2 linked regions of the Caenorhabditis elegans genome follow. The protein of the gene in region 2 purifies or fractionates together with the protein of the main gene of each other region. This does not show direct contact. Each region holds a gene or a part of one and is shown on either strand. Other genes may lie near its edges.

Evidence for each region.
Region 1: the proteins of aak-1 (region 2) and D1005.5 fractionate together in Caenorhabditis elegans (co-fractionation; one large-scale study listed by BioGRID). This does not show direct contact.

The regions. Positions count from the first base shown.
Region 1 is NC_003284.9:1,469,933-1,474,983, forward strand, and holds D1005.5 (Signal peptide-containing protein), read right to left. Parts: upstream 3,049-5,051; 5' UTR 2,988-3,048; coding exon 2,893-2,987; intron 2,846-2,892; coding exon 2,721-2,845; exon of another isoform or gene 2,717-2,720; intron 2,268-2,716; coding exon 2,014-2,267; intron 1,963-2,013; coding exon 1,810-1,962; intron 1,304-1,809; coding exon 1,211-1,303; intron 1,162-1,210; coding exon 1,066-1,161; 3' UTR 748-1,065; downstream 1-747.
Region 2 is NC_003281.10:8,756,478-8,763,220, forward strand, and holds aak-1 (5'-AMP-activated protein kinase catalytic subunit alpha-1), read right to left. Parts: upstream 4,614-6,743; 5' UTR 4,572-4,613; coding exon 4,454-4,571; intron 4,092-4,453; coding exon 3,766-4,091; exon of another isoform or gene 3,487-3,765; coding exon 3,225-3,486; intron 3,177-3,224; coding exon 2,968-3,176; intron 2,541-2,967; coding exon 2,336-2,540; intron 2,288-2,335; coding exon 1,988-2,287; intron 1,641-1,987; coding exon 1,506-1,640; intron 1,031-1,505; coding exon 942-1,030; intron 885-941; coding exon 759-884; 3' UTR 526-758; downstream 1-525. Other genes in the region: Dwarfin sma-2, read left to right, coding at 251-415, 463-525. UniProt on the Caenorhabditis elegans protein: Probably does not act as a sensor that couples lifespan to information about energy levels and insulin-like signals. Together with aak-2, involved in the establishment of germline stem cell (GSC) quiescence during dauer development.

The sequences.
Region 1 (5,051 bases), on a different chromosome or scaffold from region 2:
TTTCACAAAGGCTCGTGTTTTCCCCCGCAAAAAAGAGCAAGGAACATTGTTGCAAAGTTGAAATTGTAAACATTTTAATTTCACAAAAATTATTGGAAGCAAAGATTGGGTGGAATTTGTGATCTATGGGCTAAGAAGGGCAAGTAAATTATTACGACTTTCAGCAAAATTCGATTGAAATTTTTTGACTGAAACTTTTCGTATGGTAAATTTTTCTATAAAATTTTTGTTTCTTTGAAAATGAATGTTTCACGTGATATTCTTATATTTTGTAGATTTATTGAAAAAATTTTTTCGTTGTAATCACGAAAAATGAAGAAACAAAATTTCCATCCCTTTCCCATTGGACCAATTTTTTCAGTGTAGTTCTCAACTACTAGTCTTCACCTATAAAACTGTAATCCAAGAGTGGTTCCTTCAAAAATTTCAGCTACGGTGGAACCGATCTAAAAATTTTTTAGTTGAAAATTTCACAATTTTACTTGAGAGACAAAAAAGAGTGTTTTTTTCCAGCTTTTCGATAACTTCAGATAGCTCAGGAGTAGACAAACAATCTGGAATATAAGAAACATTTTTGGTTTTTTTTCGGTATTTCTTTCAATATATTAAATCCAGCTTCAAAATGTTCTGGAAAAGTTTCAGATCCCCATTTCAAGAGTCCAGTTGATTCCGCCGCTGAAATATTTGAGGTGACCTATTTTATAAACTAAATTAATTTCCTTGTTGAAAAAAAGTGTGCATGCAGATATTTTTATTAAAATTACTCCCAAAAAATGTTGGTATTTTTTCCGATATATTCAATCCAGCGGAAAAAATGAACAGAACAAATTCCACATCGCAATCGCCAATCGATATAATCGCATATTGTTCCCACCACGTCGAATTTTCATAACACTTGTTGTTTGATTTCTTGGTCTTTTTTTTGCAAAACTGTCGATTTTTGGAGAGATTTTAGTTGGAGCGGAATAACAGAATGATATAAGAAAAAAAATTGAGGATGGAGAATGTAGCGGGAAATATAAATTTACTGTGAGGTCAGAAGCTCAGAGAAGCTTAATGAAAAAATCAGGCTTTCCTCCCAACTGAAATCTTGTAAGCTCTGAGATTTTCATCAGTGCAATTGATTTCACGAACTGCTGCATGAGGGCAAAATGTCAAGTTCTGAAATTGTATTACTTTTGCTTATAACAAAACTATTAATCTCAATTACCTCAAAAAAACATTTCTTGATATCTACTCTCAGTGTTCGCAACGATTCCGTCTCCGAAACGTGATAAAGTGAGCCATTATTGAAAGAAACGCACTGCAAGTAAGGAATAATTAATGAATGTCAACTTTCGTCAGTAAAAACTATTTACAATTATGAATTTTTAACTACGGATACACTCAAAATAAATAAAAAACTGCGTGGCGTGTACTGCAGAAAACCTAATATTTCGGCCCCGCCTTTTTCTTGTCCACTCACGGAGAAAAGGCCAAAATTTTGACCCCAACCAATATCAGGCCGCCGACATCTCACGGGTTCCGCGCGCCGCTGTGTTTAACTCGCAGCAGGCGGAGACAGCTCGCCACGCCCAACGCGAGTTAAACGCAGCGGCGCGGCCTAAATATTAGGTTTTCTGCAGTACACGCCACGCAGTTATTTTTTATTTTGAGTGTATCGTCGAGGTGAAAAAAATCGTGGTGAGACCCTTTGCTGGGAGATCCTACTGAACAGCGGCGAAAAGGCTTGCGCCGACGCCGTTTCCGCTCTCACATGGAAGCTCTACCACACAAACAAGTTTCTCATATAAAATAAAATAAACTTACTTTCTTCACACGGTTCTGATGAACTTTTGGAATTTTAAGGTTCAACACGATGACGACTCTAGAACGCTTTTTACGTTGGTAACACGTTGCATCTGCCGCAGAAACATGTGATAGGAGGTATTGGTTTTCGATTGGAATTCTTTTTTTTATCACCTGAACAACGAAATTTCAGGCGTTTTTTTTGATGATCTTGCCACCACTCACAAATAAAACTTTCGGGTGATTGAGAATTGACTTCGGAATTTTCTCACCACTCATCAGAATTTGAATACTCGTTCGAAAATATTCTTCTTCTAGGTCTCTATTCATTTTCTCAAGTTCGAAGTAAAGCTTAATTAGCCCTCTGCCCCTGTACAGGTCTCGGAGCAGCTGCACAAAACTGATCACTTTCACGAATTTATATAGAAAATGCGCTCCTTTGACTATTGCAAATCTCTTTTTTCGTTTGACCGAAGAAACTAAAATTAATTATAACATTAAGATCAAGGCTTTAATGGTGAAATAGGGCCAGTGGGGAAACTGTTAAAGAACATTTATGTGGCCAAATATATCAAAATAATTTTTTTTTGTAAAATGTGTTATTTTGATTTGAGCACTGTCGAACATTCGAACCACATTTTTTATATTTCAATTATTTTTTAATGTTTGTATTAAAACATTGTAGGGGTCGGAACATACGACAATGCTTTGAATTTCCTCAAAAGCTCATACTTTTCAAATTTTTGGAAATTTTCCATTCGGCCATTTTGGATCATTATATCTGTTTTTTGACAAAGTCCCCACTGGCGCTACTCCACCTTTAATTCAAAATTGACAAATAATTCCAATGTTTTTCTAGAAATTTTATGATGGTATTTGGTTACTCTACCAAAGAAAAAATTGGGTTTCAATCATTTCCCCTACTGACCAACCGTTTTTCTCGAATTTGCACTCTTCCTGTACAATCTTCGCCATTGAATCAGGATTCATGCCTGTTCTGGAAGTAAGTTGCAGTTCAACTTGCTCTTCAAAATAGTCAGATTTGTCAGGAATCCACCTGAACAATATAAAGTTTATTTAGTGAGCATTTACAAACTTACTTACATTATCTCTGTAGTATTGCATGTTGCTCTTTTACGAGTAAAAGACTGAACATTTATGCAGAAAAACCAAACAAGAATAAATGTTAAAAGGTGCATAATGGCTGACTCACTTAGATACAGTGAAGCTCAAAACATGGAACGAAGTTTTCTTGTTTTATACATCTTCCTGTAAACATAGGCAGACTAGTTTTGACGTGATAATAATAATTGTAGAACAATTTTAGAACTCAAAAGTTTACCGGTCAGGCTTTTCGCTGGGGCGAGGAAATTGCCAAGAAAACAAGTTCTCAAAATTAAAATCAACTTTACGGACTCAATGAGTCATTGTTTAGTTACCTGGCTTTCAACATTAGTTTCAAAAACAAGACAGACATTATTTGATGAGTAATCAGTGATGTTACTCATTTTAAAATTAAATCGGCCCGATGAGTCGGCAAAACAGAAAAGGCACACACAAGCAACACTCCAAAGAAGATTAGCACATAATTAACAGGAGATGCATTCCGTTTTTATCGAATTTTTCTAAGACACTAAACAATTTAATTCACATGATTTTATAAAAAAAAACAGATAAAAACAAATCAAAATGTATTTCTTATGAACGTTGATTTTCGACTGAAAATAGAAAAAAAATTCACTTATAGTTAGGCCCCTCCTAGAAAACATTTTTTGAAAACTATTGAAGAATTTGCAAAAATTGGGAAACTTTTTGAAAATTATGGAACAAAAATTGGAAAAAAGTGTTCCTAATTTTCCAGCAACTTATGTAACGATTACTGAAAATATATCAAAATTTTAGAAAAGTGTTGTTGATTGGAATTACTTTTTTAGTCGATGGGTGCACAACTATGATACAATTCTTACTCCAGTTGATCGAATTGGACCTAAATCAACGAAAAACTCGTAATAAACGACTTAAATATGTATTGGAAGGTGAAAGTAAAAGAAATATTGAGTTCGATCCACAGCAACATTTGAGATTTTTGAAAACTAAGTTCGAGCTTCTTGGGTACTCAAACAGAGAAATTCAAAAATTTCTTTTGATCTTTATTCATTTAACACATTAGTTCACAAGAATCCTTCACTTTTTGTTTATGATGACGATTATTATATATAGTGTATTTACTGTTTATTGCGAGTTTCGGCCGACGAGAAATGATCGAGTTGACGAGTAGAAATTGACGGAAGATGCAGGGAATCGAACCCGCGTCTTGTGATGAGCTTGGATTGATAGTCGAGACTGATATCCACTGAGCCATCCTCCGCCGAAAAATCAGAAAAGCTTTGCAAATTATATACATATCACGTGAAAATTTTGATTTTTTGAGAATTATTAAAATTTCATTTTAGTGAAAAAATTTCCACATAGAATTTTCAATTATTTCTGTATCAGAAATTCATTAAATTTTTGTCTCTATGTAAATAAGTTTTTCATGTGATCTTCTCATACTTTCTAGAATTTTTTAAAGGTGCTTTTCCTTGTAGGCACAAAAAAAAAAGAAACAAAATTTCCACCCCATTGGAAACAAACTAATATAAATTTTTCAGTGACACGTGGCAAAAACTCATCGTGTACCATGTTGTATGCTGAACAAACAAGACATGAAACTTTGCAAATTGGATGATTTTTTTCAAATGGTCTTTTTTCTGTGTGAATCTATCTTGCAAACTTTGATTTTTGAAACTTCCCCTCTTCTCTCGAATTTATTATTTTAAAGAATTGCAGGAGTCTTTTCTTTTTTTTTCTTTTAGCATATATAATTAGCATCTTAATGGTGGGAGCTGCGTAGTGAATAACAACTTTTTCGGATTCGATTTTATATATATATATATATTGTTTTAATTTAGCATAGAAAAATCAAACTATTAAGAAAACTTTATGCTTTCGTTAAGTTTTGTGAAGCTAAATAGGCCAGTTTATCAACTTTTTCAAATAAAATTGACAATTCAAACTATAGGCAAAGCTATCTATAATATAGTTAAGTAAGGTTCTATAATGTCCATGGAAATGTATAATTTTTTTGTCTAATATTAAAGCTACAAATAGTGCTTTTAGGACGTTAGTTTATCAACTTTTTTTTCATAAATTAATTTCAAATTTAAATAATATACCACACACTATAGTTGAATAAGATTGGAAATAGCTCGTGGAAATTATCA
Region 2 (6,743 bases):
AGCTAAATCCGCACACAAACCTCAAATCAAAGCGTAAAAGAAGCGAGATCTGAAAAATGCCTGAAAACATTGGCTCCGAGTTAGGGCACTTCGGACGGCCAAAAAATTTTGTGACTATTGTCAAATGAAAGATCATGGTTGATAACATAAATTCCCACAGTTTCATAAAAATCGATACGCAGTGAACAAAGTTATGATTTTTGACCCGGAACTTATTTGGAGACCTAATAAGAAAAACTAAATTTTTCAGCTTCTCGAGGACTGCAGTCGCCGTGGATTCGACGCCTCATTTGATCTACAAAAAATGACATTTATTCGTATGTCATTTGTCAAAGGTTGGGGAGCTGAATATCAACGACAAGATGTCACTTCAACACCTTGTTGGATTGAAATTCATCTTCATGCTCCATTGGCTGTAAGTTCTGAAATTCTTGTTTTCTTTAGAAATAATACAATTTTCAGTGGCTCGACCGAGTTTTGTCTACAATGGGTCCAACTCCACGGCCAATTTCTTCAATTTCTTGAATCATTTTTATTATTTTTCAAATAACACTACCTTGTTGAATTGGAATCAGAAATAGAATAATAAAACAAAAAAAAAACAAACAAAGACGTCCAATTTAAGTACATGCTTTGAAGAGAAAAAAGGCATCTGAGGGGAATGAAGGGGGGCAAAAGTGAAACCGGGAGAAGATGAATTTTGAAAAAGAAACGAAAAATACATATCATTATACAGATAGAAACATAAAATTATGTTCTTATTCAGCTAACAAAGCCTGCATGATGATGTGGCAAGTTGCAAAGAATTCCATCGTCTGAGAACGAATTGGAGCTTCGGGTTCCGAAGATTGAGTTGAAACTTCATCAAGACTTTCCATTGAGTTCTGAAATTTTAATGCTTATAAAAAAGAACCAAGAACGAATATTTTTCTATAACAAACCTCAATATCAGCCATGTAGATACTGCTGTTCAACGATGATTTCAGCGAGGCGTCCGCGTCATCAACGCGAACTTTTGGAATGTTGACAGCTGAATTAATATTAAAATTGAGTAATGAAAATGAACCACTTAAAAAAATGATTGAAATTGTTTCGTTTTAATGAAATGAGCTTGAAGGTAGCGTCAGTGATGTCAAAATTTTTAATTTTTTGAACGAACTGTTTTTTTTTCAAATTTTTTACTGATCGAAACTGAGAAAATATCTAGATAAAACACTCTAAACTAAAATTTTCCTGGTCCTGCAGAAAAAAAAATTCGAATTTTAAATAATTTTTAAATCATTTCTTAATTTTTCTATTTTTTTTTAATTTAAAAAATTCGAAAATATCTTTCTCCAACTACAAATCAATGGTTTCGTGTTTTCGATTTTTTTTTTGAAAATTCGTTTTTTTTTTACTCTTTGGGGGTTTTTGTGAAAAATTTGCTACTCCTTCTTTGAAAAAACAAATTTTTTTTTTTGAAAATTCATTTTAAAATAATTTTCTTTCATCAAAATTAAACTTACACGGAGAAATTGGAGACATTGGAGATAGTGGAGACATTGGAACTTTCGAGCTATTTCCATTTAAATCACTTTTCGATTTGGCGAGAGTTACTGATACGGACGCAGCACGGGAACGACAACGACTCGGTGGAACAGCTGAAAGTTTTTTTTTAAAACAAAATATTAATAGCTATTTTCACTCGAAGAATACGGTACCAGGTCACGACACGACAAATTTATGTCAAGTGCGAAAAGGCGTAAAGAGTACTATAATTCATTAATTGTGTTTTAATTGTTTTACTTTAGTATTTTGATAAAGAAATCTTTTGTTCATAGAAAATCTATGAGAAATTGATGAAAAATTTGCAGTAACGAGTTTGAAATTACAGTACTCTTCAAAGGCGCACTTTTCGTAATTTACGAAAAATTGTCGTGGTGAGACCAGGCACCGTATTTTTAGCCCAAAAATCGTGAACTTTCGTGTTTATGTAATAAATACAAACCTTCTTCGTCTTCAGTGAGTCCTTTGAAATCGAGTAAATATCCTTTGTTATTCTCTTTTTTATCGAGAGCAAATAATTGAAGAGATACTTTCACAGGATCCGGATTAATTGGAGTCGGTTTGCTACGAACAATAATATGATACATACTGAGTACTTTCCATTCCATATCAACAGATTTTAAACTCAAAAAAACATGTTTCATGGTCTCAACTGGATCAAGACATGCACGAATTCCAAGATTCCATGTCAATTTCTTTTGCTCTTTTTTCAGTCCTTCCAAGATTTTTCGACCAACATTTGCTGAAAACTTTCCGACTACTTTTGCAACATTCCTTTCAGATTTCTCACTTTTCGTGGTGGCACCGACTGGCAACGAAGTGCTTCCCATTTTCATTGTTTTTCCAATCTCCCAAAAATCTTCCATTGCTTTTTGAGAAGATTCATCGGCATTTCTTTTATGATTTACTTCAAGACGATATGCAATACAGAGAAAATGATGATGATCTTCAGCAAGTAGAGCTCCAGTTACATCTTCTTCTTTCACATCAAATTTCTGAAAAAAAAAGGTTTCAGGTGTTGCTGTCGGTTAAAAAAAAATTCCCATGATTTCCTGTCTTTTTTCTATTTTTTAAAAATAAATTTTCATCTTAACTCATGGAAGTATATAATTTATAAGAATTTATAGTTTTTTCGTACATTTTTACTTTTCGGTTCTCGATTTCTCGATGAAAGGGGATTTTGCTTCTTAAAATATAAAATAGCTTCAAATTATGAAAAAACCAAAAAATGTCGAAAAATGAAAAAATAAATTATTTTTTCTGGTGGGGTTTTCTGAATTTCAGTTTTTTTGTATATTTTAACAATAAATTCACTTAAAAAAAATAATCAGAAATTATTGTAATAGTATTCTAGAACCAAAAAATGTGAAAGTTTAATTTAACTTTTTTAGAAACTCTCAGAATATTTTTTAAAAGTCGAACCTCTGCAACACTCTGAACCACATCAATATCAACAATCGATGATTCATTTTCACATTCTGGGAACAAATAATATGGAAGATCGATACGGAACCAACTGTGATTAACAATTCGTTTTACATCAGCTCTCTTCACAGGATCAACTTGAAGCATCGTAGAAATTAGATCGGCTGCTTGTTTTTCCATGGAATATGGAACTGTGTATCGGCCACCTGTATTAAAATAATCAAAATAAATTGTTTTAACTTTTAATTTCTCACTTTTAATTTTTGCAAACAACGTTGGAACATTCTGATCATCAAATGGCAAAGTTCCACAAAGCATCGCATAAAGTATAACTCCACATGACCATAGATCAACTTCAGGGCCCACATAAAGTTTATTTGATATTAGTTCGGGTGCCGCGTAGTTTGGAGATCCACATGCCGTCGAGAGAAGATCACCATCTGTCATGTAGTTCGAGAGACCGAAATCAGCGATTTTAATGTTCTTGTTCGCGTCCAGAAGAAGATTTTCGGGCTTCTAAAATTGATATATTGTTCTTAACGATTTTTAAACAAATTATCCGACTGAGAGTTTTCCTTTTTACAAGTTTTTGGATTCAATGGTTCCGAGATATTTTGATTTTTAGAGACTTTAAATTTTGAACTATGGCAAACAATGTTGACCGAAAATAGTGCGAGTAAACATATAAACGCTGCCCATCGTGTTTTTCTAGTTGTTTTTTTTTTAATATTTGAACAAGGATTATTTGTGAGTACATATTTTTTGATTCACAAAAGGAAATAATATAAAACATACCAAGTCTCTATGCACAATCATATGATTATGACAATAACTGACTCCAGAAATAATTTGTTGAAAGTATCGTCGACTTTCTCTGATTGGAAGAGCACCTTTTCTAGTTATATAACTGAAAAGTTCTCCACCAGAAACTAGTTCCATGACCAAAAATATGTCCGAAGGAGTACTGATAACACGGAAGAGACGTGTGATATGTGGATGTGTGAGTTTCTGAAGATTATCAATCTCATTTCGAGTTTTGTTAACTGTTCCGAGTCCTTTCATTCTTCCACGATTCAGAATTTTAATGGCGACGTCGTATCCGGTTTGAATATGTGTTCCTCCTGAGAAATATGATATTGATTTTCATTTGAGCTGTAGATTTCTCGTTTTTTTGGCTAAAAATTAGGTGTTTATTTTTCTTTTTTCGGAAAAAAAGTGAGCGAAGAAAGGGAAACTCTAATATAATAAAACCCCCATAAATGTTTAAAATTCACTTTTTTTCCCGAAAAACCTTCAATGTTATAAAAAAGAGTGCTAATTTGATCAAGATGTTGAAAAATTTCAAAATAACGTTCCAATATTACAAAAAATTTTCTGTTTTTTTCTTGCTGTGGGTGAAAAACTATTTTTTCCGTTTCGGTTTCACGAAAAAAAAATTCCGGATTCTGCCCTGGTTTTCATAAAAAATATTAAGAATACTTACTTTTAACAGCTCCAAATGCTCCTTTTCCAATTGTCTCTTTGATGACAAAGTTTCCAATTTTCAAATGTCCAGTGCCAGCCAAGGCGATTGTTCTATCGAAACGTCCACTTGGAGGCATATTTTTTTGACGATGTTGTGAACCTATTGGTACTACCATACCCTAAATAAAACATTATTATTCTGGATTTTAAAAAAGTTAAACGGTGGGAGTTAATGACAGGTAGTGTGAAATCGAAAAATTAAAAAAAAATCGGCTTGAAAATTTACTTGAAAATTTGGAGAAAACTTTGGCTTAGGCTCGGCGGCGGGTAAAATTTCAAAGGGATTTTCAAAACTAAGCTTTTTAAAAAAGTTTAACCAAGAAATCCGGCTTGTTTTCCTAGAAGAATTAAATGTTTTCAGTAAGTTCCGAAAACTATGCCGCGAAACAAAAATAATATATAGGGTCTGAGGAGGTCACGCGATTGAGTGTGAATCATATGAATCATAAAGAATGACCGAGCAGCCGCCGTTGGTGCCACGCGTCGTTTCCATTCAAATGGGCTCTCACCACTCTGACAGTGTATGACAATATAAATCAAATCAGCAGACATTCAATTTCTCAACATCTGCCCTGTTGGTTAACACAATATGGTTTTGGTTTCTAAGAGCTGTTTGGACGACGCAGAGAAACATGAAAAAAAACCAGTGTGTGTCTATTGAACAACGACACCTCTTTTTATGAGCCGATGAGGAAGGGAGGCTCTTTAGAAGAGAGCACATGAAAGAAGAAGGCGGAGTCAAGTGGCTGAGGGCCTAATGGGAGGAGCTTGGTGAGGTTTTCTAATTTTGGAAGAATAAGATTTTAGATCTAATCTCATCTTGTACCAAAGGATCAGGATAGGAAACTTGAATTGATAAATTCAACATTCCATTATCAATTTTATTTTCGACAATATGATGTATGCCGAACTGCACAAAATGAAAAAAAAAACCAAATGTAAAGTGACGAATTACACACACATCTAGAAGGCATAACTACAATTTTGATTTAACAAAAATCTAAAATGAATATTCGAATTTTTAGACTGAGCAATTCGTACTCATTACTTCTACTTGACAAAAATTATAGAATAACAATATTTTGAGAAGCCGAAAGACAGAATACCAGCTGGGTGTACGTGGTAGAAGGCCATATGAGTAGACAGAGTGAAATTGGGAACAAAAACGATACCACGTGTGTTTGGAGTAGACTTGTCAACAAGTTGCTTGAAAAATTGGGGCGTGGCTACTATTCTACGAGGCTTCTGCTACTAATGAATGACCCCCAGAGATATTTCTAAGTGGATCTAGAAAGATCGAATTTCCTCAAATTTTGAAGCTAAACTCATGTGATCGCTCTTGAATTGTCACATTCACGAGCTTCTTTCCAAAATGTCTAGACCATGAGAAAGTCAAAGAATGCGGAGATGCTCTTACAATTATTCTCGTTGTGATGTCAGTTTTCACATTTCCCACGGCTGATTGACACTTTGAGCTCGTCGTCCAGTATTTCAATCAAAAGATTCCAGCTATAAAATTGATTCCGAAAATAACGACAAGAAAATAGAAATAGAATTTATGATTTTAAAAATTCTTTCTGTTTTCGAAAACGGTTTCTGCACTTTCTATACGAAATCTGACAGATGCTGTCGTGAGCGGACACTGGTTTTCTATGAACTGGAAGGAATGAACACTTAGTGAAGACACGAGCAACATAAAATATTGATATTTTTAAAAGTTTAGATGATGGAATAGAAAAATCGTTGACACGAATGGCTGTCTGTCCCCAATTTCGAAATCGTTCGAATTTCAAGAACAACAACTATTTCAACAAAAATACGATGAACAACTGGATAATGTTTAATTACAAAAACTAGCTGAATTAGTTTTGATAAAGAGCAGTTTGTTAAAATTTCTATCGCTGCAATTTTTTAAACAAAAGTGAAGTTTTTCAAAAAGAAATGAACAAATATTTTTCCGTTCGCAACTATTTTCAACACATGTGCGCAGTCTAGAAAACAACAGAAAACAAAAAATATATACGAAATCGTAGGAAATGCAAAGAACGATGATTGTAAGAGAAGGACAGGAGAGCAAAATGGTTTTCTTATCATTCCAGAGGTTTTTTCTCACTTTTACAGTGCATATTATGCACGTTGTCGTTCTGCGGGCAGAAATGAACATAGAAAATTAAAAAAAAACATAATAAATTGAAGAGTTAAACTTAAAATGGAGAATTTCCGAAAAGAAAAATCGATTTCGAAAACAT